4 linked regions of the Mus musculus genome follow. The protein of the gene in region 4 interacts with the protein of the main gene of each other region in a pairwise test. Links are inferred from orthologs where the notes say so. Each region holds a gene or a part of one and is shown on either strand. Other genes may lie near its edges. The genes, in order: Prkab2, Fhl3, Txnl4a and Rhebl1.

Evidence for each region.
Region 1: the proteins of Rhebl1 (region 4) and Prkab2 interact in binary tests that used the Homo sapiens proteins (3 or more experiments, as listed by UniProt). The link is inferred for Mus musculus from reciprocal best matches to the Homo sapiens genes RHEBL1 and PRKAB2.
Region 2: the proteins of Rhebl1 (region 4) and Fhl3 interact in binary tests that used the Homo sapiens proteins (3 or more experiments, as listed by UniProt). The two-hybrid records come from large-scale screens. The link is inferred for Mus musculus from reciprocal best matches to the Homo sapiens genes RHEBL1 and FHL3.
Region 3: the proteins of Rhebl1 (region 4) and Txnl4a interact in a two-hybrid assay, tested with the Homo sapiens proteins (2 studies listed by BioGRID and IntAct). The link is inferred for Mus musculus from reciprocal best matches to the Homo sapiens genes RHEBL1 and TXNL4A.

What each region holds. Positions count from the first base shown.
Region 1 is NC_000069.6:97,655,064-97,662,290, forward strand, and holds the start of Prkab2 (5'-AMP-activated protein kinase subunit beta-2), read left to right. Parts: upstream 1-3,148; 5' UTR 3,149-3,306; exon of another isoform or gene 3,307-3,525; 5' UTR 3,526-3,550; coding exon 3,551-3,703; intron 3,704-7,186; exon of another isoform or gene 7,187-7,188; coding exon of another isoform or gene 7,189-7,209; coding exon 7,210-7,227. UniProt on the Homo sapiens protein: Non-catalytic subunit of AMP-activated protein kinase (AMPK), an energy sensor protein kinase that plays a key role in regulating cellular energy metabolism.
Region 2 is NC_000070.6:124,698,281-124,705,483, forward strand, and holds the start of Fhl3 (four and a half LIM domains protein 3), read left to right. Parts: upstream 1-2,418; 5' UTR 2,419-2,571; intron 2,572-5,116; exon of another isoform or gene 5,117-5,651; intron 5,652-7,203. UniProt on the Homo sapiens protein: Recruited by SOX15 to FOXK1 promoters where it acts as a transcriptional coactivator of FOXK1.
Region 3 is NC_000084.6:80,203,438-80,210,660, forward strand, and holds the start of Txnl4a (thioredoxin-like protein 4A), read left to right. Parts: upstream 1-3,388; 5' UTR 3,389-3,464; exon of another isoform or gene 3,465-3,624; intron 3,625-3,716; 5' UTR 3,717-3,753; coding exon 3,754-3,906; intron 3,907-4,672; coding exon of another isoform or gene 4,673-4,792; intron 4,793-6,624; coding exon of another isoform or gene 6,625-6,663; exon of another isoform or gene 6,664-6,693; intron 6,694-7,223. UniProt on the Homo sapiens protein: Plays a role in pre-mRNA splicing as component of the U5 snRNP and U4/U6-U5 tri-snRNP complexes that are involved in spliceosome assembly, and as component of the precatalytic spliceosome (spliceosome B complex).
Region 4 is NC_000081.6:98,876,553-98,884,014, forward strand, and holds Rhebl1 (GTPase RhebL1), read right to left. Parts: upstream 4,863-7,462; 5' UTR 4,650-4,862; coding exon 4,598-4,649; intron 4,028-4,597; coding exon 3,956-4,027; intron 3,293-3,955; coding exon 3,225-3,292; coding exon of another isoform or gene 3,213-3,224; intron 2,936-3,212; coding exon 2,853-2,935; intron 2,764-2,852; coding exon 2,707-2,763; intron 2,504-2,706; coding exon 2,456-2,503; intron 1,983-2,455; coding exon 1,901-1,982; intron 1,746-1,900; coding exon 1,653-1,745; 3' UTR 1,208-1,652; downstream 1-1,207.

The sequences.
Region 1 (7,227 bases), on a different chromosome or scaffold from region 4:
ACAACTGTCTGTAACTCCACTTCTAGGGTATCTGTCTCCCTCTTCTGGCCATCGTGAGCACTGCATGTGTGTGGTGCACATGCATGCATGCAACAGCACTCTTTAACAGATAAAATAAATATTTTTTTAAAAAAAGAATATAGGCTGGGACCATTTGTTTAAATGACTGTTTCTTCAATTGTGCTCAGATTACATCGCTCTAATAAACCATAATATAACTTACGACAACAGTTTTGTTTCCTGTGATAGATAAGCATAAATTACAATTGGGGGCTTTGGTGGTATAAGGTTAAGACTTCTTGAAATCACTTAGATAAGTTGCTCCTGAAGGCTGAGCACATTAAACCAGTAGTCCCCAGCAGGAAGATGGACATGATGGACAGGTTATACCTAAGCAAGGTAATTGTATTTACTATTAGTCTGTCTTGCCTAACAGCATGGTGGAAACAAACCCACTCCAGACTTTTGACCTGGAACTCCCAAGGCATCATGCACTTTTCTCTGCTGTAGTGTTTTTAATAAATTCCCACTTTCCAGTTGAATAATGCCCACGAGTCTTCAAGATCCAGCTCCTCTCCTATCCCCCCACCCCCACCCTCCCAAGAACAGCTTCCTGACCCCAATGTGACCTCTGTACTCTCCTCTCATCTGGTAGATTCTGGTAGATTCGATTCCTCAGTCACTTTTTTTTCCCCAGACAGGTTTTTTTCTGTGTAGCCTGGCTGTCCTGGAACTCACTCTGAAGACTCAGAGATCCACTTGTCGCTGCCTCTTGGAGTGCTGGGATTAAAGACATGTACCAACCAGCGCCCAGCCCTCACTCGCATTTGATGGATGTCCTTATCACATGACACAAAGACAGATTCCTTTGCCTCATCGCTCTCTGAGTTAGTAACTAAGACAGATGCCTTGCAATTAATCTGTATTCCCAGTGCCCAGTGTAGTGCCTGGAGCATGGTGGGGCCTCAGTACATTGATGATAATTAATTGAATGAACATACTTAACAAGAGAGGTAAAAAGCATGAATACGTTTTTAAAGGATTAAATTGAATAGTGAACATCACTCTCCTAAAAGGAGATTAAAGAGTGCTTAGTAATAGCGCTTAGAACCAACTTGGTGGCCGACTGTTTTTGCAGAAAACTTTCCCGAGTAGACCACTGATGTGAATCTGAGGGCTAAAGCACTGTATGGTTTGAAACAGGTGTTGGTATACAACGTATTTCTTCAATCAAGCAGGTTTTAAAAAGTCAAGATCTTAAAACAGAAAACAGGACTTATCTCCTCCTCGATTCTCACCATGCACGAACGCCTGCTGCTGTGTCTTCTTGCTTCTCCAGCTCTCCAGCCCCTCTGAAGCACCCACTACCTCTCCTGGCTGTAGCTATTTATAGACCCGTTTATTCCCCTTCACTCAGTGAAGACCTTAGCACCTAACTCAATGCTGTGTCTATAGACACAGTCATTCCTGAAGGTGATGTTAATATCTATGCAATTAGTACTCCATCAATCCAATGGATTAATTAAGTAGGATGAGGTTCAGCTATATTTAATAGAAAAGTGATAGTCAACAGTGGTCTAACAAGACTGATATTTCTTTCCCCTTCATATAAAAAGTCTAAAATATATCATTTATGAGATGATTCCATAGCTGCATGGTTCCTTTTCCATTCTTTTCTTTTTGTGGGGGAGATGGGTGAGACAGGGTCTCACTATGTAGTTCTGGCTGTCCTGAAACTGGTTCTGTAGAGCAGGCTGACCTTGAACTCACAGAGATCTGCCTGCCTCTGCCTCTCAAGTCCTGGGATTAAAGATGTGCCACCATGCCCGGCTCAGTTCCCTTTTTTTATTCCACTGCTTTTAACTACCTCGTGATCTGAAGTGGCTGCTGGAGCTCTGGCCATTCTATGGACACCCTATACACAAAGAAAGAGAAACGGAGAAATTCTACTTACCATTTCCCCCTATCTATCTATTAGGGAGGCTAAGAAATGCATCTCTGTGGAGACAGACAACATCCTAAGGTTAGAGTCAGTGCTTCAGTAAAGAGGAAGGAAATCAATGTTAAGGTAGACCTCCAACTCTCTTTGCTACCTCACTGTTCCTTTTGAGTAATTACTTTCATTGTTTAAAATGTTAATCTATGTTTGAGTGTTTTGCCTACATGTTTGTATGTGCACCTGAAGGTGTTGTAGCGCCTGGAACAGATGATTATGAGCCACCTTGTAGGTGCTGGGACCAAACCCGGGTCCTCTAAAAGAACAGTAAGGGCTCTTAACCACTGAACCATCTCATCAGGGTTTATGACTTCTAATGGCTTTATGGTCGGCCTCATCTCACCGATCTACACACTTGTCTAAGATTCTGCCAGTGCTAATGACTGCAAGACCACTGAAACCTCAGTGGCAGACACGCTACTCTCACAGGACACCTCTCACTGTCTCAGCTCACTCAGTCTCTCCTGTGTCCAGAGTTCTTTGACCCCACTGGGCCCTCCATCAGCCTATTTTATCTTCACTTCCAGCCGACTGGTTTCAAAACGCTAGTCCAATAGTATATTCCCAGCCTACCTGTGCTCTCACTCATTAGCTGTTTGCATTAATCCACACAGCTAATCACAGTAACAGAAAACACCGCTTTGATGAGTTTGGGCATCACATAGAAGTAAGTCTTCTGCAGTAACTGCCATCACGTGTCTAGTCAATTCTCTGTCCTACTTTTTATTTCATGCCTCCTGGGACAACTAAAAAGGTTGCTTGGTAGAGGCGTACGCGGAATATGAAAATGTGGATCCACTATGCACCGCTGTCCAGTCGTTTGAGGTGATCCTGTTAAAAGTGCAGATTCTAATTCTGTACCTAGGGCACGGGGAGGCCTCGGATTCGGCTTTTCTAATAACCGCGTGCCCCATGGATAGACAAACTGCTTAGGAAGACAAGACGCCCCACTATCAAGCCCTGGGCGGACAGTTCACAGCCCTAATCCCGACCCGGACCCCACCCTCGGCCCCGCCCCAAGCCGGAGCTGCGCACGCACCCACCACAGAGGCGGTGCTGGTGGCTAGAGAGGCAGGCGACCCAGGCTGAGGAGGGGGCGGGGCTGGAGCGCAGGGGGCGGAACAAGAGGCTCGGTGGGCGGGGCCAGAGGCAGAGGCGGTACCTCGTCGCGGGCCTTGTAGCCATTTTAGGAGGAAACCCGGTTCGCTGGTTTGGGGCGCGGCTTCAATTTCAATAACTTTATTGGTCTCCTTGTACGCCGAACAGCCGGCGTGCGTGTAGCCACGCGAGCCCGGAGCGCATCGCCCGAGGTGAGCGGCGTGGGGGGTGTGCGGGACCGGGGCTGTGGGGCAGCGAGGGCTCCCGGAGCCGGTTCTCCGAGCCGAGGCGTCCGTGAAGCGGGTAAGGGAGGGGACCCCGGGCGCGGTCCCCTGCGGCGGGGATTCCCTTCCCGGGCGCAGGGGCGGGGCCGGGGCGCCCCTGACGCAGCCGCGGGGGTGTTCCCCGCCTGGTGTCATTCCCCGCGGCAGGTTGCCCCCGACTCGAGCTGCAGCCATGGGAAACACTACCAGCGAGCGGGTGTCCGGGGAGCGCCACGGAGCCAAAGCTGCTCGAGCTGAGGGCGGCGGCCATGGCCCGGGAAAGGAGCACAAGATCATGGTGGGGAGCACGGACGACCCCAGCGTCTTCAGCCTGCCCGACTCCAAGGTGAGGTAGCGGGGCTGCCGGCAGCTCCGCCCTTCTTGGTTCTTCCTCCTCATTCTCAAGGGTTATGGGCTTTTTAACTAGAAGGCTATTCCGCGGATAGAGATGCTGGGTGCTAATTCCTCCTAGATACTACCTCAAATTAGGATAGGGGCGCGGAGTTGTTTTCCTGCTGCTCAGAGTAATCTGTGGGCCAACCTTTTAGGACGAGTACCAAAAACCCATCCCCTGCCAGCCCCATCCTTGGATCTACGTGCAGGTTGCCCTCTTCCAGAGCTTGCAGGATGTATAGGTTGTGAGCGCGGGTGGAAACTTCGGAGGGTGCGTTGTCTGAGCTATTGAAAAGGGCTCAGTTTCTCACATTGGCCTCAAGATAGCTAGATGACTTCTCCCTGAAAATGTCTCTGTGTAGGTCTCCTTCTTGCTCTCTCTTACGTGTTCTGCATCACCTCTTCGATCCTCGTCCACCTTTGTATGGCTCTGAGCTGCCATCAGTTGATTACTTGAATACTTTCCCCTAGTCTTGGGGATCCATATAGGACATCATTTGGTTAATGGCTCAGATCTTTTTTTGAAACGTGCCGTTTTAAAATGTAGCTGTGAGCTTTGCACAGGAGAGCAAGTCACTTTACTTCACTCCTCAGAAGTACTTCAAAACGTTGCCCGGGGCTCAAAACCACCCTCTACTGACCTGAAGCCTTAGCTCTCAATTCCATAGACTTGGAGCCAGAGGCCACTTTTGGTCACTCAAAAGAAGAGCCAGATGGAGCTGACAGCAGTGTGATTGCTACCCTAATGTTCCTAATCACTTAGAAATGTCAGCATTAAATACATGTAATTTCTCCCGGTAGACTTTCTGGAGTGAAAAAGAAAACCCGGCCCTTGGGGATGGGGTGGGGTGGTGGACATTTATCACTTCCCAGTGAACTGAGGCTTAGGATAACAGAGTTTTATTTGCCACTTTGATGGCACATGAAATTTGAATTACACACCTTATTTTCTCCGATCGAGATTGAGAACGCCGTTAGAAAAGTGCGTCATTGAACCGGCCATTTCTTGGGGTTCCCTCTTCCCTGTTTCCTCTCCTCTAGGATTCCTCCTCATTTGGGCCCTGGACTCAGCCTAGATTTCCTTCTCCAAAGCTTATCTAGGATGACAGGCAGGCCGTGTATTTTTGCTCATTCCTACATTGATGACTCAGGATTTGGGTACAGTCAAACTGTGACTGCAGTAATTGGTGTCCTGAATAAGAGCCAGGCTGCTCTGTGTGGATTTAGGCCTGTTCTAGAACATTCTTTCCCTCATATCTTGCCCTTTGTGAAATGAAAAAAGTAGTTCAAACAATTACCCATGTCTTATCAGATTGAAAACTTTATAGTTCATGCCCTCCCCTCCACACACACACACACACTGAATTTCCTTAAACATTTGCAGGCTGTACTTTGAATGCTGCTTTGCTGCTGTTCGTGGTGATTTCGCTGATGGTTTAACTGGAGCAAACAGTTTTTCTGCAAGTCAGCAGCAGTCATTCCTACCACAGAAATGTCATGTCATAAGTGGAAGGGCTTTGCTCCAAAGCCAGGCATATTAATAGTTTAGAGCTTTCAAATCCTAAACTGAAAATCCTTAAGTCATAAACGTAATTGATAGGAACGGTGGGGCTGGGGGCATCTTTGCTTCAAAGGTCAGGGTTATCAATAGTCTTAGTCAGTGCTTCTCAGCCCTGTTTGTATGACAGGATCCCCCAAGAATGCTTTAAAAACCTTACGAGAAATCTGACACACTTATAAAATGAACTGTGTAATGAACTGTGTGTATGTCACCCTGTTTATACGGTGCTGGAAGGTCATGAAAGACTTCCTCTGGGATCCAAGCCTCTCCTCTACCAGCCACTCTGAAACAGATTTCAAACAGGTCAACAAATAGTATTTCTAACATTTTAGGACATTCCTCAAAGGTGACCGTTTAAAGCTGATATGATAGCGGCTCACACCTGTGATTTCAGCTGTTTCAGAGGCAGAGGCAGGAAAAACCTTGCCAGGCTGGACTGGAGTGAAAATTTGACCCCTAGAGAACGATAAAATATGTTTTTCCTTGTTTATTGTAATGTGATAAGAGTGTTGTTATCTGAAGGCTTTAAAAATATATATTCCCAAAATCCTATGAGGACTCAGAGACTCTGAGGGTTGTTTTGAGCCATATGTAAGCACTCCCAGTGCAACTGTCAGCCCCAGGGCATTGCTTTGAGGTTCCAGAGACCACCGTTTTGTCTTAATCCAGTCCCCTGAATAATGTAAAAGTCCCTTCCCTTTTCTTTCACACTTGCTTTGGTCTATATTTGTACTGTAGTCATAAGGACTATCGAGAAACAGATCGAAGGTAAACTTTTTTCATTTTGGAAAGAACAGGGGAAATCCCAAATAAATAAGCTAGACTTTTCTTACTCTAGCCCTCATCATTTCATTTGTAATGCCTGACTTGGTACCATGCAGTCTTATTTACCAGTCAGTGAAGCCATCCCAAAGGACGGATTAGCAAACTTTTTCTGTAAAAGGCCAAATAATAGATAATTGAGAGTCTGTGGGTTACACCCTCTGCTTTCACTTCCCAGGTCTGCACGGTAGCAGTGAGCTGTGGGTGATAAACACGTGGGTGGCTGTTTCCCAAACGAAAGCTTAGTAAAAGCAGTCTGGCTCATGGCTGCAGTTGGCCGACGGCTGTCCTGAGGATGGCCTTGGAAAGAAACTAAGGGATTTGTTTTTCTCAGAATCCTACAAACCCCATTTAGTAACGGATCTGCTTTTGCTCAAGGAAGCTGCTTTTGGTCGTGTGCTCCTAGAGTTCCAGGATGTCCTGCATCCTGCTGAGGGGATTTTATGACCTGGCCTAGGTAAGCAAGGGAGGTTTCATCACCGGTTCAGTGGTACCGGATCAGTGGCGTGGCTTCTGAATGCCTGTCGATTGATGGATGATGGTGCTGGAGATGAAACCCAGGGCCTTGTGCTCGGGAGGAAAGTGCTCTGCACTGAACTCCGTCCGTCTCCAGCCCTTAAAATGTGAATGCCCTGTTGTATAACCAAGGAGCTGAAACAGCAGTGCTAGTTACTCAGGAATTTTGGTATCTCTAACTGTAATAGAAAGAGAACAGTTTGCCTCAGAAAAACATATAGCTGGCTTAATTTTCCTTTAAAGAACCATACTTAACTTTCTTACAGTTTCTTATGAGGTGTTCAGGAGCATATCCTAATTGCTACATACAAGCGAGGCCTGTAATAGGAAGGATTTAGAGGTGTTTGGTTTTTTTGAAGGGTGATGCAAAGGTTCTGCAAGGAGAATGATGTGTGCCATATGTTCTTTAATATAGTTTGTTCATACCCTGATTCAGTTGCTGAATTTGGGCTGTCTGACTTTAGTTGACGCCTAATTTAATGCCCATTAAAAACCTTTGGGACCTCTTAAAAACCCTTGGGTCATAATTTATTCTAGGGATGACCTACTCCTTCTTACAGCTCCCCGGGGACAAAGAG
Region 2 (7,203 bases), on a different chromosome or scaffold from region 4:
AGGCTGAGAACTCATAAGAAACAAGCCAGTAAGTAGCATGTTCCACCATGGATTTTGCCCAGGCTCCTGCCCTGACTTCCCTTGAGCCGCTGCAATGTGGAATTGTAAGCTGAAATAAGCCCTTGGCTCTCTAACTTGCTTTTGGTCATGGTGTTAGAAAGCTAACAGCAAGCAGGCTCATGCACCAAGCCATCTCTCTAGCCCCCACACCCCTATTGCATTTTTAAAGAGAACTGACTCCAGAGGGTTGTCCTCTGACACAAGCACACAGGTACACTAGCACTAGCATGCACATGTGAGCCCACATACACACAAACCACCCAGATATACACCATATATATATGTATGTGTTTATTGGATAATTACATGAGTTTATATATGTGAAGTATTTAGGGAATGGTGCAAACTGGAAGCTCAGAGTTTTGGCTCTTGGTAAAGGCCTTCAATAGCACTTCAAGTCATAAAAAAAAGAAGAAAGACCCCAAGATGAAGCACCTTTACTGCTCACTAACAACTCTTCCTTTCCTGAAGGCTCTGCCCTAGTTATAGTTTCTATCGCCGGGAAGAAACCATGACCAAAAAGCAAGCTGAAGAGGAAGCGGTTTATCTGACTTCTACTTCATCATAGTGCATCACTGAAGGATGTCAGGACAAGAACACAAACAGGGCAGGGACCTTGAGGCAGGAGTTGATGTGGAGACCATGGAGGGGTGCTGCTTACTGGCTTGCTCCTCATGGCTTGCTCAGTCTGCTTTCTTATGGTATCCAGGACCACCAGCCCAGGGATGGCACCACCCACCATGGCACTGGGCTGGCTCTTCCTCCATCAATCACTAATTAGAAAAATGCCCTACAGGCTTTCTTACATCCTGATCTTATGGAAGCATTTCTCAATTGAGGTTTCCTCCTTACAAACAAACAAACACCTCTAGATTGTGTCAAGTTGACACAAAACTAGACAGTACAGTTTCCCACCATTGTCCCCACTTCAGGTCAGGACAGACAGACCCCTCTCGCTGTCTACTCCAACCAGGAATGATAGTGTTTCCTGCATTCCTGTACATAGAGCTCCCTAGACCTGGGAGACAAGTCCCAGAGGAAGGGCTCACCCTCAGACTGTCTGATAGTAGGTGCCTGGCAGGGAGTGGCAGGGGGTCCAAATGAAAGCAGTGTGTGACATTCATCCCTCATTTACTGCAGGTCAAACACTGGAGTAGATACTGGGAATGCAGTAGTGAAAAAAAAAAAAAAAAAAAACCGACCCAACCTCTGCCCTCGTGGCATTTGCAATTTAAGAATCAACAACATTTAAGCAATCCTTTAACTCTGAAAGAAAACCTGGCCTAGAGGCTGTCTTAGGACCTAGCAACCAGACCCCTGATACAGAAGGGAAGGCGCCACACCAGCCTTGAAGGGTCTTAATCCCCAAAATGCTAGCAAGGCTGGATGCAGCCTTGAATTAGGGGGGGCCTCTCTGGACATCTGAATCATCCCCGAGACGCAAAGGTTATTACCAGGGTTAGTTTGTTGTCTCTTGTTTTGCAAACAGCACAACAGAGCTCCCCCACCCCCACCCCGCCCTCCAGATCAAGGCTATTTATTCCTAGTGACAAGCCTGAGGATCCCAAGGGGGGTGGCCTCAAGGACCTGGATGGGCCTCGTGTCCCTGGCAGACACTAGTCCTCCCTTCCCGGAATAGGGTAGAAGCTGGAGGATCAAAAACTGCACAAGTTCCCTCCCTTCTTAACCACCCCTGCCTGCACCAACCACTCGCACTGTTCACACACCCTCTCGAGAAACCCAAAGCCAGGGAGGCCGAGGATTAGGGTCTCCCTGAGCCTCAAAGGTCAAAACTATTCCTGGGCACTATAGAAACCTCAGTGCCAGGGCACAGTTGAGGATGGGGAGGTTGTTGCCTGTGCTTTCGCCAGTCGCTTATAGAATAAAGCCCTTTGAAATTGAGGAGGATAAAGGCTCGCTCTCTTTAGCCCAAGTTTCTAGAAAAAAAAAAAAAACCTTGATCTCCGCTGGTAAGGCAGAATCAAAACCACGCCTCCAGCCGGCTGGATTAAGGCCTCCTTCCCAAGCTAAGGTTTAGTGTAACATCTGGGGATGAGCTAGAGGGAAAAGAGGAAGGGAGGTCTGGTCTCCAGATGGACTCTAGCTAGTCCTAGGAGCTCTGCACCCCTGGCCTGAGATCGCTTCCAGCCGTCCCCCGGGGTCCGAAGGGCGCAGGAGGCGGGTTAAGCTGCAGGGGGCGAGCAAGGAGTGGTCGAGGAGGTCAGAGCACCAGGTTCGACTGGGCTGGGCTCGCCGCAGGCAGGAGGGGGCGGGGTCTGGCCCTTGCGGGCGGGTTGGGGGCCCGGGGGCGGGGTCCGGGCGGGGCGGGCCCGAGCACTTCCTCGGAGGCTTAGGGCCGCGCGCCCACTCGCCCACACAGTCAGTCGCAGCCGGCTACCTCGCCGCTGCTCTCTCGGCCCCCCTCCGCCTGGCCCACAGGTAGGAGCCGCCGGGCGATCGGCTCCCGCCCCACCCACGCCGCGCGCGCCCAGCTCCCGCGCCCGCTTCGAGGTGAGAGTCCCCCGCCCCAGCTGCGCTCGGACCAGGGTCGCTCTCTGGGCCCCTCACCCCTGTCTTCTGCTGGGGCATCCCGAATTCGGGACCCCACGCGCCTGCACGGACCCCACCGCTCCGCGCCTCCCGGCCGGGCGGGGACCGCCAGAGTTGCAAGGGGTGGGGACCAAGTTTGAACTAGAAAAGCTACAGAGATCAGCAGGGTTGGAGAAACTGAGGCTCTTAGGGAGCCTGGTAGAACAGACAAGGACGCGCGCCCCAGGAGGCTACCGGGACCACTCCAACGAGGGCAGAGAATGGCCGGATGAACTTCTCGAGGCACGGCGGGGACCCGGGTTCTGGGGAGCATTTTAAGAAGCAAATGTATGGCCCCAGGGAACTCATTGCTAGCACCCTTCCCAGGGCCTTGGAGGGCCCCGAGGCTGGAGCTTGTTAGACTAGCGCTAAATCTGCCTCCCGGAGGCCTAAAGAGACTCTCAGGTCAGAGACATAGAGACGTCGAGAGAGACCAAGACTTGGATATGAACAGGGATAGAGATCCCCAGAGTGGAGGCCCTACTGGGACACAGCTCCAGAGATACAGGAACACCTTCACCCAAACACAAAGACGGGTACTGACTAAGCTCAAGGGTACTGAGAGGTACGGAGTGGAGGCTAGAGTTCGCTGAGGAGAGACACCTAGTGTGTTCACTGACAGCTGCCCCAGGCTTGAAAGGGTGGAGGCAAGGCTAGGGGGAAATTGACTCTTAGCCAGCCCATCCCCCAGGAGGCAGAGGACCTGAGGCTGTAAAGCTGAGCTGAAGAGAGAGAGAGAGCCCCATACACACACAGCCACTAAGACAGCGCCAACTTATTTTTAAACTCAAATCTTGGACGCTCTGCTTCAGCCCTAGGGGACTCTGGGGTGAATGAAATGTCCCTCTCCTGTTCTCGGAGCAGCTGCAGGATCTGCTCCCTTCGCCCTAAACTGCTTTGACTTCCAGGCCCTGTGGGGAAGAGGGGCAGTGGAGAGTTTGGGATTGGTGCCTGGTTGGGGGGGGGCTCTAATTTCTCCCCTAAGTCTCTTGTCAAGGGGGAGGGGTCTTCTCTGAGTTACAGCTGTGGGGTCTGGCCAGGGTCCTCCTGGACTTGGGATGGGCGGGGGGGGGGGGTTGCGGGAGGCGGGGAAGGGGGATATACTAAAGGGTTGAGCAGTTGGCATGGGTAATTGGAAAGACTTCTGGGTGTCTTCCAATGGCAGGCTGGCAGCCGGGGAAGACAGCCAGCTCTAGTGTATCTCCTGTTCGCCCTCCCTCCCCCCCAAAGGATGACTGCCCCTTCCACCACTACCAAAGCATTTCTAGGCAGAGTTCCCCTCTGATGGATAGGACACTTCTGCTCCAATTGCTGAACAGCCTTGGCCATGCCCCTAGCCTGCCCCTGGTATCTTGTACTGAGCTCTAAAGGGGACCTATACTCTGTCCTTCCTTTTCGTAAGCTGAGATGCAGTGGTCGTGGGGTGTGTATTTTGTAGATGACAAGGAATCTAGCAAGTATGTGCTCCTGGGAACTAACCATCTCTAAGGTCTTTAAAGTCCCCCCCACCCCACCCTGGTATCCCACTGGCTGGGCTAGAGCTTACGATGTGTACCAGTGGTTCCCTCAGACTTCACTAAGACTCCCAAGGTCACATCCCAGGTTAACTCTTGCTTCGGGCCTACCTGAGACTACCACTGTTTGGCTCCAGTAGGAGTTGAGGGGCTTGTTGTAAAAATACAAGTGACTAGCGTTTACTTACAGTGATTAGCGTTTACTACAGACTTATTACAGAAGCTGTCATGGGGATTATCACATTTTAGCTTGACAGCTGTCCTAGGAGAGGGAGGTAGTAATAGTATCTCATTTAACTGGTTGCACCTATACTCTCAGGGAATGAAAACTGTATACCCAAGGTCACAGGATTTCAAGTCAGGTGTATTTTTTGTGACTCAAGCAAGCTGTTATCCACTGGACACCATACAGAAAGATATCCTGCCACTCAGCTCTGAGAAGTTCACTCTGTGTGTGTGTGTGTGTGTGTGTGTCTTTTTTTTTTTAATATTTATTTATTATATCTTAAGTACACTGTAGCTGACTTCAGACACACCAGAAGAGGGCATCAGATTTCATTACGGGCGATTGTGAGCCACCATGTGGTTGCTGGGATTTGAACTCAGGACCTCTGGAAGAGCAGTCAGTGCTCTTAGCTGCTGAGCCATCTCTCCAGCCCTGTGTGTGTGTGTGTGTGTGTGTGTGTGTGTGTGTGTGTGTGTGTGTGTGTCTGTCTGTCTGTCTGTCTGTCTGTCTGTCTTACTTAAGTCAGGTATGGAGATAATGTGTGTTCGTGGAAATAGCAGATTGGGGTCATTTGGAAGAGCCACTGTCTTCTCTAAACCACACCCTCCTACCCCCCCACTCCTCTACCCCTTCACCTCCCCACCCCTCCAGCCCCCTCACTCCCCCACCCCCCACCTGCTCCCAGGAATACAAACTGTCTCCTAGCTCACCCTTTTAGTCCCCCAGCCTTGCCAGGCATTGTGGGGGGAAGGGGGGTTGGGAGGAGATAGGAGACAAGTGGGCCTTGGTGCCCTTCACTCTGTCCTCATTAGAGACATAGGGACTGGGAGATTCTGGGAGGAAGCAGAAGACACACCCATACCCTATTTGGGGTGCCTCATCTCATTGTGGTGACTGGCTCTGAGGGGGTGGATCCAGGGCCAGCCTGGGCCTGGGAAGGTAGCTGCTGCCGCTCCTGCTAGCCAAGCCCGGAAGGAAGGGCTCACAAGTGGACACATGGCCACAGGCCACCTGTGTTGCTGTCTGTTGTCCAGTGGCTAACAGCCCAGGCAGTCCTCAGATGCTGGGCCAGAGGAAACCAGGACCTGAATGACAGGGGAGAGAGAAGGAGGGGCTCTCTCCACCCTTCAGCATGACCGCTACCTGAGGACTCTCCACTTTGAAGACTCCCACTTTGGTCGCCTTATGTCCTGCTTTGGGTGTGAACCAGGTGTTCTCCCTCCTTGTTGAAGGGAAAGTTCAAACTCATAAGCCACAAAGAGGTGAGCCCTTCAGGTTTGGGACATCTGTTGCTGCCTGAAGTCTGAACTCTAAGGCAGACCAAGGTGTTTGGTGAGAACTTCCTGTATTTGCTGAGCGGGTATGTGTGTGTGTGTATGTGTGTGTGTAGTGTGTGTTGCCTTTCCTTCATCTTAAGCCAGGGCAGCCATGGAGAAGGGGGATGGTAGGTTCCTCTGTGCATCCCCCCCACCCCTTTTAACTTCCTCCAGCCTCCTGTGCGACAAGGACAGCATCCCCACCCTGTGGGCCCTGCGGGGATCTTCTTCACTACCCAGCCCTTTGAGAGCTTGCTTCAAAGTGGAGTAGGGTGGAGCTGGAGAACTCTGACTTTGGGGCCGGGGGAGACTGGAATTGGCCAGCACAAGAGACTGGGAACCCCATTTCACTGCCCCCCCATTCTTCTTGCTCCTGTTCCAGAGGCGGCAGTGTTGGTGACCTCATCCCACAAGCATGCTTTGTTCCTGAGAAAATGGAAAGTGTCTGAGGTTTGGTGGGGGGCTGGGAGTCTGCAGCGACAGTGCTCAGGACTCCCCTTGTCTTACTCCCCCTTAAGAAGGGACCCCACTGGGGCTCCTGGGGCTCCTGCCTTCTCAGCTTTCACTACTCTGACCTCAAACTCTGAGAAATCAGGGAAGGTGGGCAGAGGCTGCCTGTCCAGATTTAGGGGGCTTTGCAGAGCTTGCAAAGGCACCTGGCAGGAGGTGGGCAGGGGACACTGCCCTGTCCATGTGTCTCCTCTTGCCTTCTGCCTCTCCCCCCCACCCCCCAGGGCATCTCAGTTTTTTCCCTTTTTTCTCCCTCTGGCTGGCAAAAAGCTGACATCTGGCCCTCCTGCTGCCACAGCTGCAGCAGCTGTCACAGCCAAGACTGCCCGGGGTTGGTGTGACCAGAGACACAGCAGAGGTGGTAGGGATGAGGATGAGGGTCCAGCTGGGGAAGTTTGGCTGTCTCCAGCTTGCAGGGTTTCCTTCCTGCCTGAACCGAAGCTGAGCCTTGCAAGTTCTTGCTGCTTGGCTGATTCTCCTGGGAGGGGAGGCCCGACTTCTCGCACGAGGAGCGAGCGCCATTCATCAGACAAGCATCTCTCTAGCACTCCACTATTTCCTGCATCGGTAGCAAGTTGGGGGGGGGGAGCACACAGAACACAGCTCATTCCACATAAAACTCCCCAGATCGGAAGTCTAGATAAATATCCCCTAATCTAAACTCCTATGACTCCTATCCTGGGAGGCAGGAGGTGAGAATGCTGTCTATATGCAGTAGGGTTGGTGGCCTCTGTCCTGGCCTTTGGCACCCTAGGGACAGTCCAGAGAATTGAAGCAAACCTTAGGCTAGGGCAGGAAATGAGTCACTGACCCAGGAAAAGCCCCCTCCCCCCAGATCAGCCAGGGCCTAGATAAGAAAACAACTTCTGCTTCCTGGTTTTTTTCCTGACCTCTTCCTATCCTCACAGTCAAATATAAAAATAAACATGGAAGATTCGAGCATACATGGAGCCTACTGCCGACTACTCTAGGGTCCCCAGAGCAGTTC
Region 3 (7,223 bases), on a different chromosome or scaffold from region 4:
TGTGGAAGGCAAGACACAGAATAATAGTGGCAAATTGCAAAGCTGGTGTCCAGACAGACGAGCAAAAGGTGGGAGGTTCACAGTTGGAGCGGGCCCCATCAAGCAACAACACTCATGCTGCCCTGAAAGCGCCATAGGCAGTCGTTTTGATTACCTTTGGACACCTTGATGAAAGGGTCTCCCAGTAACAGGCTGGCAGGCGGGGCTGGAGCCATTGCTGTCACGGTTGCAGAAGTCCTCTTTGTTATGGGGCTCAATGCAGGGGTGTTGCACACTCATTCTTGGGCCTGGTTTTCCTGAGACTGTTTTAATATGCCCATATGCTACCCATTTACTTTGAAAGCTTTTCATCTGATCTCTTTTTTAGTTATAGAAACATTATTTCTTAGCCTTTGCTTTATAGTTGGTGCCAGGTAGTTTTTGGTATCTTTGAAAACAAATAAGATTCAAAGTCCACCCTGCCTTTCTTTCTTTGCATCGAAAATGGCATCATCTGGCATAAAACATGGCCTTAATCACTGTTTCACACAAGATGAAGTAGTTTAAAGGCAAACCACTACCTCACACAATATGAGGTGTGTAACAAGTTGGAGACAGTTGGGTCTTGGCTGTCCTTTGAAGCACTTACTAACAATGCTGGGCCAGGGATCAGACTTGGGCATCATTTCACAGAGGTGCCAGTCCTCCAAGAAAGCGAGACAGACTTGAGGAAGCAGTTAGGCATGACCATATGAGGGGAAGGGGACACCAAGAAAACAAAATTCTCTAAATCAACATGAGCAAGGATCATATACATTCACAGAGACTGAGGCGGCCTGCACAGTGCCTGCATGGATCTGGATCTACACCAGGTCCTCTGGGTGTGTGCGTGTGCGTGTGCGTGTGCGTGTGCGTGTGCGTGTGCGTGTGCGTGTGTGTGTGTGTGTGTGTGCGTGCATTATTGTGGCTTCCAGGTTAGTGTTTTTATGGGACTCCTGAGTGTGTGAACAAGTGATTCTCTGATCCTTGTGCCTTCTCTTGGGAGTTTTCCTTCTGCTAGTTTTTTTTCATGTCCAACTTTGATGTGACTGCTCTTGTTTCACCTTATGTCTTATTTGGTTACATGCTATCTCTTAGAAGCTGGTTCTTTCCTAATGAGAGATAGAAAGAAGAAGGAGCAAAGCTCCTGATTTGGGGGGGGGGGGAGCTGGGACGAATAAAGGGAGAGGAAACTGTAATCAGGATATAGAATGTGAGAAAAGAATCTATTTTTAATAAAGGGGGAGGAACCTAAATGCCAACGAGCTAGTGGAGAAATAGTACAGAATGGTGTATCTGTGTAGCTGAATATTAAAATAAGAGGAAATACTGATGTGTGGAACTTTAGAGCATGATGCAATCTAGACTTGATAAACCAGCTAGGAAGGACTACATATAATTCCATTTATTGAAATGTCTAAAATAGGTCAATCTACAAGCAAAACATAGATTAGTGATTACCATAAGCTTCAGGGATAAGGAAATGGGAAACAATTACTTTTTCTTCTCAGAGTGACCTTTTCCCTAGAATTTGATTGTAGTCTCAGTTCCAGTTGTCTGACCCTCCCTGATGATATTTAGAGTATATCTACAGTATATGTTAATAAATATTTGTATTAAAGTATTTTAAATTTTTAAAGATTTATTTATTTATTATATGTAAATACACTGTAGCTGTCTTCAGACCCCTTTTCTTCTCTCTCTGTTCCTGCTTGATCTGGCCCTGTTCACTCCAGCCCAAAGATTTATTTATTTATTATACGTAAGTACACCATAGTTGTCTTCAGACACTCCAGAAGAGGGCATCAGATCCCATTACAGATGGTTGTGAGCCACCATGTGGTTGCTGGGATTTGAACTCAGGACCTTTAGAAGAGCAGTCAATGCTCTTAACCACTGAGCCATCTCTCCAGCCCCTAAAATTATTTTTATTTATTTTTGAGACAGGATCTTATATACTTCTGAATGGCCTCAAACATACTATGTATGATCCAAGGATGAAGTTGAACTTAAAAAAAAAAAAGATGTATGAGTATGAATGTTTTGCCTGCACATATGTGTAAGTGCACTGTTTTGTGCCTTGTGCCTGAAAAGGCCAGAGTGTGCTGAGTCCCCTGGAACTGGAGTCATGGACGTTTGCCCACTGACATACGGGTGATGGAAATCGAGTCTGGGTCTTGTTTTATTTTGTGTGGCTTAGTGTTTTGCCTGCATGCATGTCTGAGTAAGGGTGTCAGATCTTGGAATTACAGCCAGCCATCATGTGATAGCTGGGAATTGAACCCTGGGTCCTCTGGAACTGCTGAGGCAACTCTCTAGCTCCAGAACCTGGGTTTTCATGAAAAGCCACAAATGCTTTTTATTTTGGAGTCATCTCCTCAACCGTTGCTTTTTAATTTGTAATTTTTATCAGGAGAGGGATAGTGGTGACTTGTACTTAATGCCAGTAAATGGTTAAAGTGGCAAACTTAAACACGTGTGTGTGCGCGCGTATGCGTACACACACACACACACACACACACACACACAGATATGGTAAAGAAAAGTATTCCTACTTGTAATAGCTTAAGAAGATGGTTCAGGAACACTGCAACGTGGTCTTGTAGGGAGGAAAATATGTTCAATTACCAATTGTGGAACATTATGGGTGAAGAGGAATGGATCTGTGAAAGAGAAATTAGGAGGATAATGGCTGAAGCCAAGGAGATCTGACCTCTGGGATAAGGTACAGGTCCAAAAACTTGATTATATCCAAGAGTGTCTGATGATGCAGAAAGATATTTTACAGAAGAATGCATAGATAGGCCTATGGAAAAGATCAGGAGCATGGCTGAAGTTTGGCCAAAGACTTGCCATATTTCTCAGCACAATAAAAAAATAATAAGCCGGGCGTGGTGGCGCACGCCTTTAATCCCAGCACTCGGGAAGCAGAGGCAAGCGGATTTCTGAGTTCGAGGCCAGCCTGGTCTACAGAGTGAGTTCCTGGACAGCCAGGGCTACACAGAGAAACCCTGTCTCGAAAAAAAAAAAAGAAAGAAGGAAAAGAAAAGACAAAAATAATAAAAATAGAGACAAATTACCCCACAACACTAGACGCGTTACGAGGTGGGGACGCTTGGGTCTCGACCGTGCTCTGGAGCACTTGCTAAAGAGGCTGAGCGCGAGATTAGACTCGGGTATCCCCGCCCCCTCGGCAGAGGCACCGAGTCGCCAAGAAGGCGAGCTCGACGCGCTCACCGACGGCTCGCTCTGCGCAGGCCCAGCTCGCTGGGCGGCGACCAGGGGTGGGGTGGGGACCAAGAGGCCGACGGCGACGTCCCCGCGCATGCGCATGACGCCAGCGTGCGCCTGCGCAGCAGCGCCGAAAAGCGTCAGCGCGTGACGGCGCGGGAGGAGCTGGTGCTGGGTGGAGGACGCGGTGTTTGGGCCGCGTGGGCTCACACGAGGTTAGAGGTCGTCTGGTGTGGCCCCATGGGGCAGGGGCTGCCGGGGTGTGTTCCCTGCGGAGGTGGCGATTCGAGGGTGTGGTTCCCGTGCGAGCCGAGGCCCTGTATGGGCTTTGGGCCCGGGGCGAGCAGTGGAGGTTTGGGGTGCGGTGGCCTGCAGGTTTGCAGTGGGGCCCTAGGCAGAGTCTGGGGTGCAGGCCAGGTTCTTGGGGTCCGGATGGGGTCGCGATCCTCTGCTCTTTCTACCCACAGGTAGCTCGCGGCGTCCGGCCGCGCAGGCGCGCTCAAGATGTCGTACATGCTTCCGCATCTGCACAATGGCTGGCAGGTAGACCAGGCCATCCTTTCGGAGGAGGACCGCGTGGTCGTCATTCGTTTCGGACACGACTGGGACCCCACTTGCATGAAGATGGACGAGGTTCTGTACAGCATCGCCGAAAAGGTAACTCATGTGCAGTGTTCGCCGTGCTGGGCCCCGCAGGGCGGTTTGGACGCCAGATTTCAAGCCCGAGTCCTGTGTTCCATGCAGAGACCCACAGAGAGACGGGGTTCATGTACGGGCAAGGTTTGTGCTAGAAATGGTTAGAGTTTCTTAAAATTTGAAGAAATTTATGATTTCCTCCTAAAATAAGTGATGATAAATTTTGGGGGTTTTTTTGTGATTACGGAAGGGGATGGATGGTCCGAGATAGGTCTTGTGTATGTATCTATATGTATATATAGTCAGACGGACCTTAAACTCGCCGCCTCAGTCTCAGAGTTCTGGGATTACCGGGCACCACTGTGGATGATGTTTTAAAAAATTTACTAGGGCCAGGTGCGGTGGCATATGCATTTAATCCTAGCACTCTAGAAGCTGAGGCACTGATCGTTCTAGGCCAGTCAGGACTGTATAAGACTGGGTCTCAAAAACAATGTATCGCCGGGCAGTGGTGGCGCATGCCTGTAATCCCACCACTTGGGAGGCAGAGGCAAGCGGATTTCTGAGTTCCAGGACAGCCAGGGCTACACGGAGAAACCTTGTCTCAAGAAAGAAAAACAATGTACCTTATGTGTAGTCAACAGAGTGACTTTGCAAGCTTTGTTGAGCTTGTTGGAGCTTACTTAGGCGGCTTAGCTTAACATTATTGGCCTTTTCTCAATATTTTATGGATTTATTGTATTTATGAAGCAGAACTTTTAGGTTAATACCATGATGGACTTTTTAGCCCCCACCCCCTCTCTGGGAGAGAAGAAAACCGGATTCACTGTGTCGCCCAGAGGGACCTTGCACATTCTTTCCTTCTCCCTGCCTCCTCCCAAGTCCTGGGATGAGCCTCAAGCTCTTTGTAAGTTACTTGATTTGTAGCTTGCAGTTATTCAAATGCTGAAAGTTGAGTTTGGGTGGAACTGGTGTTCTTAGTTTTCCATATTTATAAGCAGGGTGGCAGTACTTGTTTCCTGACACTGGAAGTGTAATTGTCAGGCACTGTTACACGATTAGGAGGTTCATTCTGTGAATTCCTCTTCACGGTTTTAGGATGACTTAACTTTTTTATGATTGTAACAATAGGGCAAAGACTGTAATATTTAATGATAAGTAATTTCAATATTATTTTATTTACTTTCTTATTTATTTGAGACAGGACCTCCCTACATAGCCCTGGAACTTGTGTAGACATGTATCTATATGTCTTTAGACCCTGCAGACAAGTCTATCTGCCTTTGTCTCCACCTTCCAGTGCTAGCTTTAAAGGTGTTTGCCACCATGCTTAGCCTGAAAGTCAAAGAAGAGTTAACACTGATAGAAATGCTGGAACTATTTTCCTTCTCACCCATGCTGCTAACGCCTGCTGGCTTAAAGTAGTTCTTAGCTTTCAAATGACGTCTGCCACAGGATTGTCACTTTATTTACTTGAGCTATAAGTGAGGCCAGGGTCAGGTGCCTTGCCACTGAACCATAGTCACCATAGCAAAGACATTCTCTGGAGTAAGACACGGGGATGTGTGCGTGTGAAGGAAAAGCAGCAGCATTTGGCTTTCTGCTTCCGTGTTGCGGAGAGGCTGGTGGAGGGCAGTTCTGACATCCAGTTATCACAGGTGTCTCTGCGAGTGCTTCTCTGGAAGCTTGGAACACGGTTGGTCTGGGCTGAGGCCTCCAGGGGATTCGGTGCAGATTAGCTTCTGAGGAGCAGCTTCTCAGCCAGCCCTGCCCTGTTCCTCTGGGAGTCTCTCTCCTGCAGGCGTGCAGGCTGTCCTGTCAGTCAGGCTAGAGGTACGAATGAGGTGATTGGGTCCCTCAGAAGGCAAATGCAGAGATTCACTGAAGCACCACTACAAGCAGGTCCACGGCTGAGTCTGCTTTAGTTGAGGACAGCTGTCCTTTAGTTATTCTGACCTGAAGGTGGTTTGACCAGTGTCAGGAGGGCTTTCCTGTCAGGAGGGCTGTGTCTGAGGCCCTTTGCTCTTCCCCAGCTAAACAGAACTTAAGCGTTTCCCGTACTTGTTATCTTGTTGTCTCAGTGCTGCTCAGGTGCAGACAAGGCCAGCCATCCCACTCACCAGACATGCGCTGTATTTGGTGTTGGGTTCATTGGTCTCCTTCAAAAATATTTCCTTTAGTCTTTTAATTTGCATTTTCTTTTGTCCAAAAAATGTGATTGCATTCTTAATGAGCTCCCTTTTTGCTCCTCTTAATAACTCTGGTACCACCATGCTAGCCAGGTGTCCTGTGCCCGTCCTCCTCAGTCACTCTTCACCTCGGTATTCACTGAGGCAAGGTCTTTCCTTAACACTGAGCTTGCCAGTGAGGCTCGTCTTGCTAGCCAGCTTGCTCTAGGGATCCTCTGTCTTCCATCTTTTAGGACTAGAATTAAGGTAGGCCATCATATCTTCTTGATATGGGTTTCTGGGGGTCTGAACTTGGGTCCTGCAAGCTCTTTAACCACTGAGCAATTTTTTCCATACTCTTAATAAACTTTTAATACTATGTTTTAGTATAGTTATTAAAAATGTAAGTTTGAATTACATTAAAATCACTGTTGTTCTACTTCCTTAGTGTAATGGCAAAATACACATTCGTAAGTTTGGGAACTCCAGGGAATTTTCAACATAAATTTTTGAAATTTAAGATTTTAGTATGTAAAGAACAGTATAACTATTTAAAAATCTCCCTCCGCAGAAATGGAAGATAGTGGGAGATCTTCCTCATCTTGTATGAGTCCTGTTTGGATATCCCAGCTGTTTTAAAGTGAGTAAAAGTTACATGTGTGTGCAGGCTGGACTTGAGTGCCCTAAAGTATGTTGCTTTAGCCAGTGTGCTGCTGCTGCTTGCAGTGTGCACCTCCCGTGATGCTGGAGTTACTGAGTTCAGTACTTGAGGAAGAACGGTGGTAGGGAGCACGCAGACTTAGATCTAGTGCTCACTGAGTAGGTCCTCTGTAAAATGACTTCAGGCAGTTTTGAAGAAAGATTATTTCCTGAACCTTCTCTTTTCCCATGGGGTAGGAATGTACTTTGTCACAAAAGTGCTTCTAGAGATCAGAATTCCCTTAATACTGTGACATACAAAAATGGTGAGTGTTTTTAATATACTAAAAAGCCCATACAAATGGCATTTAATATCTTCAGGGATGAAATGTGATGGTGTGTTCTGAAAGAATCATTGTGGCTGGTGAGACAGCTCAGCAACTAGAGGCATTGCCACAGAATCCACATCAGAGTCAAGGAAAGAACCAATTCCCTCATTTATTCTCTGACCGCCACACATATGTGATGGCG
Region 4 (7,462 bases):
ACGCACGCACACGCGTGTATGCCACAACACCCAGCTTCTGAAGCTTACTCAACAATACTTCAAATGGGAAGTCAGGCTGATTGAGTACTTCAGCTTCTCGCAGTCAGCAGAGGTCTTTGTCCTCTACTATGCTATGGTGGCTCTTAGGTCACCCTTACAACTCTCTTTGAGAATGAATTGTGAATAGTCAAGGCAGACAGTGAGGGTTGGAGAGACAGCTCAGCAATTAAGAGTACACACTGCTTGTGCCTAGGACCCATGTACAGTGTCTAGTGCCCATGTTCAGTGGCTTATAACCACCAGTAACTACAGCTCCAAGGAACCTGATGCCTCTGGTCTCCTCAGGTACCTGTATTCACATGCAAACACATAATTTAAAAAGTAAAGAAGAGCCGGACAGTGGTGGCGAACGCCTTTAATCCCAGCACTCGGGAGGCAGAGGCAGGCGGATTTCTGAGTTCGAGGCCAGCCTGGTCTACAAAGAGCTCTAGGACAGCCAGGGCTACACAGAGAAACCCTGTCTCAGAAAAAAAAAAAAAAAAAAAGACCTACACCTTACTAGCAAACAGCCATCCTACTGTGACCGACACTGAAAGGACAAAAACAAATCTTTAACACCTAAAATATATACCACAATTCCAAACATGACTAGATGTTTTGATATAGCAGGAGGAAAAATGCCTGCTATATCAAAGGGACAAGGCTCTTAGTAAGCAGTGCATACATAGAGTTCCAGGACAGGCAGGACTACACAGAGAAACCCCACAGAGGGATGGGGGGTGGGGGAAGGAGGGGGCTTAGGCACATCTGGGTTGCCAGATCACATGTACGCCAAGCACATTCTTTTCTCAATTCTCATGGGTTATCACACACTTTTAGTCTCCACCTCTACTCTCCTTGACATCATTAGAAATGAGGGGACACAGCAAATGTCATGGTCTCAGGACAACAGCTAGTCGGATGGCATATGGCATTTAGCCACTAGAGGGCAGTATATCTGTAGTTAAGGGGATCTTCAGGACCCACAAACTTAGATGGGTGGGGCAGCCCAACAGATCTTGGTGAAGTTAAAAAAAAAAAATATAACAAACAAAAAAGAAACATCAAAATAGATGAAAAAAGGCGAGTGGTTAAGTCTTAGGGTGGGGTCCTTAGTGAGGAGAAAGACAAGAGTGAATACTAAATACTGAAGCCACCAGTCCTCAGCTCTCTCCAGACACAAACGTCAACAAAAGATTTCTCAGTTTATTTGGAAATATACATTGTTACCCCAGCAGACAGTTCTACTTCAGAACTGCCAAGGAACCAAACACCCTTACCCAACCAACACCCAAAACCTACCCAGGAGGGTGGGTCCTGGGTAATCAATGCACAAGACTCATATCCCTACTGTACAGACTGTAAAAATTGGTTTAGAAAACCAAGGAGTTAGAAGCCAGGGTCCCTGAGACATCTTGCCCCTTTGTAAACATTAACATCCAGGCTACCAGAACCTGGGATGAGTGTGCAAAAATAAGAGTGCCATACTGTGTGCCCAGAGGACAGGGGACATAGTTGGCAACCATAGCAGTTATATCCTGAGGGTCTGCCCCACTGCTGCGGGTTAGACAATGTCTGCGGCAGAAACAGGGCAGTTATTCCATGCCAAGAGTTCACATAAGATAGCATCGGCGGTCTTGTCGTCCATAAGAATTCTCCACCCGGGCAATCTCCTGGATGACTTTGATGAAGACATCTTGAGTTAGCTATAAGGAATAAGATCAGCAGTCAATCAGTTGGGTCAGAGCCGATACTATCCAGCCCCAAGGCAAACAGCGCTTCCTAACTATCCCCACCACCAATCAGCATGTAGGAAAACACGGTTAGCCTTGCCCCTGGGTCCAATCTTTAAGTTCAGCACCTGATTATCCCGAGCAGACGACTCCATAAACATCGCACCCCAGGACTCTGCTAGCTTCTTCCCTTCAACTGCCTGCACCTCTCTGGAAGCAGATTTGGAACACACCAAGATGGAAAGCAGATAGCAACGTCGGCAAGTTCTCTGAAAAATCTCTAGGGTTTAGATTCCTTCTGATGATTCACAACCCCTCCCCCAAGGTTTGAGGAGGTGAAGAAAGAGAAAATATACGTAAACAAAAGCATGATATGTAAATGCAAAACTGAAATATAAATTATGATAGGATTATCCTTAAGTGACCTTCAAAGTTAGGATGAAAAGCTCGGGGACCAGCTAGGCACGGTGACCCACCACTACATTCTCAGCGAGCACTATTTGGAAAGCTAGAGGACCTGGAGTTAAAGGACAGCCTGGGCTATGTGGTGAAGATCCCGTCTCGAAAAACCAATCAAGATGTAAAATTGCTTCAGTCAAGCATCAGAGCTGGGAAGGACTACAGCTCGATTGATCCCTGATACAAGTCACTTTCCATTGCCTGAGCAGCGGAGTCTTACCCACCTCTCAGGAGAGAGATCTGCCTTGTTCCCCACAAGCAGCACCGACAGCCTGGGATGACAAAGCAGTTGCTACAGTTATGCTTGTAAGATCCCCTTCCCCATCCTCCATGGACCCCAGCTACTCCAACTCCATCAAGGCCAGATGATTCCCAAACAAGCCAACTGTGATCTAGGTCTAGCCTCCTTGAAGAGTTCACTCACCCTTTCGCTTCCTTCCACACCCTCAGGTCTCTATGTCCTAAAGCCACTTACCGGGTTTTACCGTGGCCTTCGTGTAGCTTTTGGTACAGGTTCTTAACGATCTGAAAGCTTCAAACATAAGAAACAGAGCTAGGGTTTTAGTTCTAGGATAACTGCCCAGTCTTGACAAGCCCCCACTCAAAAACCTCCGTGCGTACCTGCGCAGAGAGTTAACCGAGTATACAAGAACGTAACCATGGACCCCGATGATGAGCGAGTAGGGCAGAATGCTGTACTCATCCTAGCAGCAAACAAAAACGTGAGTATGTACACCCATGCCTTCAAACGGCGTAAGCCAGTGGCATAGCACACGAGTGACCCTCCCGGGACATTCCTCGCTCCGGTCTCTTCCATCAAACAAATTTTTATGAAGTAGCTCCACTGAGCCCTGCACACTGCTAACAGCTCAATGCCTTTCTTTTCATACTACATCCCACATGAACCCCCCCCCCCCCACACACACACACACTACCAGACTTTATAATTTAGGGCTGAACTATAACATTTGGACACCCTACCGCAACTGGTACCTGCCCTGCTGTGTCCACCAGATGTAGGTGAAACTCATCTTTGCCAAGAGTCACTGTCTTGCTGTAAGCTGGAAAAACAAACAAAGAAGAAAGCTTCTTGACTGTGAGGTGCTTTGTGGTCCCAGTGATGTGTGTTCCGATACAGTCCTGACCCCAGGAGTGACACACTGACTTACTGTCTTCAGCCACACCTGTGGTTCTCAACCTTCCTAATGCTTGATCCTCAACCATAAAATTATTTTTGTTGCTACTTCATAGCTATGATTTCGCTATCGTCGTGAACCGCAATGTACATATTTTTGGAGGTACAGGGTTGCAAATGGGGTCTCAACTCAGAGACTGAGAACCTCTTGATCTATACTATCCTGGTCTAGAACGGCACAAACGCCACGCTCTAGACACTAGAATGGGACTCCCAGAGCTGATTAGTGGACCCTATAAACAAACCATCCTCTTTGCAACAAAGAAATCTCAAATTATGGAGTTTGAGAGGGCACCCAGTCTATCTAGGTTCCATCCCCTTCACACTAAAGAAAATTACTCATGCCAGGTGGTAGTGGCGCACGCCTTTAATCCTAGTATTCCAGAGGCAGAGGCAGGAGGATCTCTGAATTCGAAGCCAATCTGGTCTACAAAGCTAGTTCTAGCAGCCAAGGATACACAAAGAAACCTTGTCTCAAAACAAAAAACAAAGTGGTGGGGGGTGTTGGGGGGGGGATGCAACTACTTACTATTCTCCACTGTAGGATCGTAGCCTTCCAGGAACTCGCCTTCCACAAATTGATGTGCCAAAGATGTCTTCCCTTTAAGGACCAAAGATTGTTGTAATATAGTCATCCATCCATATTTACACCTTTTGTCCTTTCGGACTGTGGCCAGGACCAAAGGGCACCTCACATCAGCATCCCAGATTGTGGGAGCTCCCAAGCAATGCTTACCCTTTGTCTTTTATTACCATCATCCTAACAAGTAGATTTCCGCGACGTTTTGGTGATTCGATGCATTCAGTGACGCTTCAGGAAGCCCTTTCCTGCCCCACCCCATCTCACCCTTTGAAAAAGATTCCCCGGGATCTAGTGCACCAGGCCAAGGACACTTGCAAGTGTCTAGCCGGCAGAGATCTCCACCACACCTTCAAATACTGATCCCACCCCCGCTCCCAGAGAGAGCAACGCGGGGACGACTGGTGCAACCACAGCCCGGTACACTTTAACCCTTGCGCGCTCCTCTTCCAGCATCCCTCCACCCTTCCATCTCCTGGCAGCAAAACCGACTTCTTCCCAGGCCACATTGGGTCCTCGTGTCACATCTCCGCGACAGCGCGCCTCTTCTGGCCACAAAGCAACCGTGCTCTCGGGAGGGCGGGGACTTACCTACGGAGCGGTACCCTAGGATGGCCACCTTCCTGTAGCGCACCAGCGGCATGACAGGACGCCGCCCCGCGGGGCTCGTAGGAGTGCGGGCCGAGGGAACCCGAAGATCAGCCGAGGTGCAGGCCGAGGTGGACTCTGGGAAGAAGAGTAGCTCGCTGAAGCTACGCCCGGCAAGCCAAGGAAAACCAAAACAAGCCGCGCGCCCGGGGCAGCCCACGTGATCACAACACAGCGGCTGTACGCAAGGGAGCTGGGCGAGGGGGGGGGGGCAGGGGAGGGGACAAGACGAGCGGGATACCTAGCCGGGCGGCTCCCGGCTCCGCCCCACATGCTGCTCCCCATTGGTCTATTAGAATAGAGGAGGGCGGAGTCACCCACAGGAGGGAAGGGCGGGCCTCACGTGGAGCGGGATCTTTGGGAGCTGCACATGCGTAGACCTGAGCCTGTTCATTCATAAAGAAAGAGAAAGGAACCCGGGGTCCTAGAGGTACTTGCTGCCTAGCCAAAGAAGCTGGGACTCTCAGATGGAAAACACCTGTTGTGAAAATACAAAACGAAAAGGAAAATATCTGTTGTGGTTCGGCTGGAGTGTTTGCTTTTGAGACAGGGTCTTACTGGTGTAACCTGACTGGCCTACAGCTCTCTCTATAGATCTTGCTGGCTTCAAACTCACTGGGATCCACTTGCCTCCTCCTCCCCAGTACTGGATCAAAGGGGTGCACCACTACACGTGGCTTTGGGCTGGAGGTTTTGTTGAAAAGATTCTAGGCCCTTGAAGCACGGATTTAATCCCAGCACTCGAGAGGCAGAGAAGGGCATGTCTCAGAGTTTGAGGCCAGCCTTATTGACAGAGTGATTTTCAGGACAGCCAGGGCTACACAGAGAAACCTGTTCTCAGGAGTGGGGGTGGGTTCTAGGCCTCTGATTTCACAGAACTGGAGTTCTTGTTGTTTGGGAAATTATTTCAGTGTGTATGCAGTCTTAGGTTTCCTTATCATACCCAGGACACTCATTTATTCAACAAATACTGACTGAGGCAGGAGGATGCTGAGTTTGAGACTGGCCTGGGCTATACAAGATCAAGCCACCCAAGACCTTGTCCAGAAAAAGGGAAAAAGGAAAAGAAAAGCATACGTCTATAATCGAAGGATTTAAGAGGTGAAGACAAGAAGGTCAGGAGGAGTTCAAACTCATTACGGCCTCAGCTATGTAGTGAGTTTGAGCCCAAAAGACCTTGTTCTAAAAAAAGAAAAAAGGCTGTTGCCCATGTTCCGCATGCTCTGGACAAGACACTGTTGCAGGCTTGCTAAAAGAGATAAACATGGCATCTGTTTTCCTGGCATTTAAATTTATTCAGAGTTTGGAGCTGCATGAGGCCAGCCTTGTTTGCAGTCCCCAGAACACACACACACACATGCACACACACACATATGCACAAAACCTTAGGGAGACAAGTATGTATGTCATGGACAGCTTCAAATTAACCAGCGGGTTCATCCCGTTGAGGTAGAACCTAGGAAGTTGGCCGCTGGTGGCCGGTGTTCCTAAGGCTCTGCTTCACTCTGGTTTGTTTGGTTTTTGTTTTTTGTTTTTTCCAAGACAGGGTTTCTCTGTGTAGCCCTGGCTGTCCTGGAACTCACTCTGTAGACCAGGCTGGCCTCGAACTCTGCTTCTGCCTCCCGAGTGCTGGAATTAAAGGCTTGCGCCACCATGCCTGGCTCTGCTTCATTCTGGACTCTTCATGCCTGCTTTGGTTTGCTGTCTGCCGTGAACAAACTCTTCCATCACACGCACCCACTATCCGTGAGACTGCGCATGAACTTAGAGCTAAGTGGTCATAGACTAACCATATGAAGTTCTGAGCCAAAAAGGAACCTCTCTCTCCTTTTCAGTTATTTAGCCACGACAATACAAAATTGTGACTTAACGCTATGCTTCCCAGGACTTCTTTGTTTTCCACGGCTAAGAATTCACCTCCTTCTTGGTACTTAATAAACATCATTATCATCATAAACAGCGTTGGCAGAGGTGGCACACACCTTTAATTTCAAGACTCATGAGTCAGAGGCAGGCAGTTCTCTGCATTCAAGGCCAGCCTGGTCTTCAGAGAGAGTTCCAGGACAGCCAAGGCTACACAGAAAAACCCTGTCTTGAGAAAATAGTAATAATAATAATAATAACAATAACATCACTATTACTTAGTGGCTTAAAAAAATATGGAGTTTGGGGAGATTTTTATTGTTTTTGTATTTCATTGTTTTTTTAATTGGGTTTAAGTTTTTTGAGACAGGATCTCTCTATATAGCTCTGACTTTTCCTGGAATAGGTTGGCTTCGAACTCACAGAGATCTCCCTGCCTCTGCTTCCCTGTGCTAGGGTAAAGGTGAGTGCCACAAGATTGGCTTCCTTGCCTTTGTTTCTTTGTTTCTTTGTTGGAGATACTATGTAGCCCTGGCTGGCCAAGAGCATTCTTTGCCATAGACCCTAACTAGCCTGGAACACCCAGAGATGCACCTGCCTCTCCTTCCAACTGCTGACCCAGAAAAACAGTGTATTCTTTCTGGGAATCTGGGGTTTGAATTAGCAGCTCTCTTGTTTCCTGTCCTGTATTTGTTCCTGGGGTTGAAGTCTCAACTGAGGTAGAAAGTCCAAAAGGACCTTGAGTATCTGGGCCTGTGTGCTGACTATTGGCTGAGTCAGACTCTCTGTCTCTGTCTCTATCTCTGTCTCTGCCCACCCCCCACTCCCTTCCTGTGTCTTTCATTAATGAGTGATGGAGCCTGAACTTTGAGGCAGAATGGGATAAGAAAGCAAGGGCCTCTTGGGCTTTGGGCCCTGGAAATGGCAAGTAATTGGTTTCTCTAA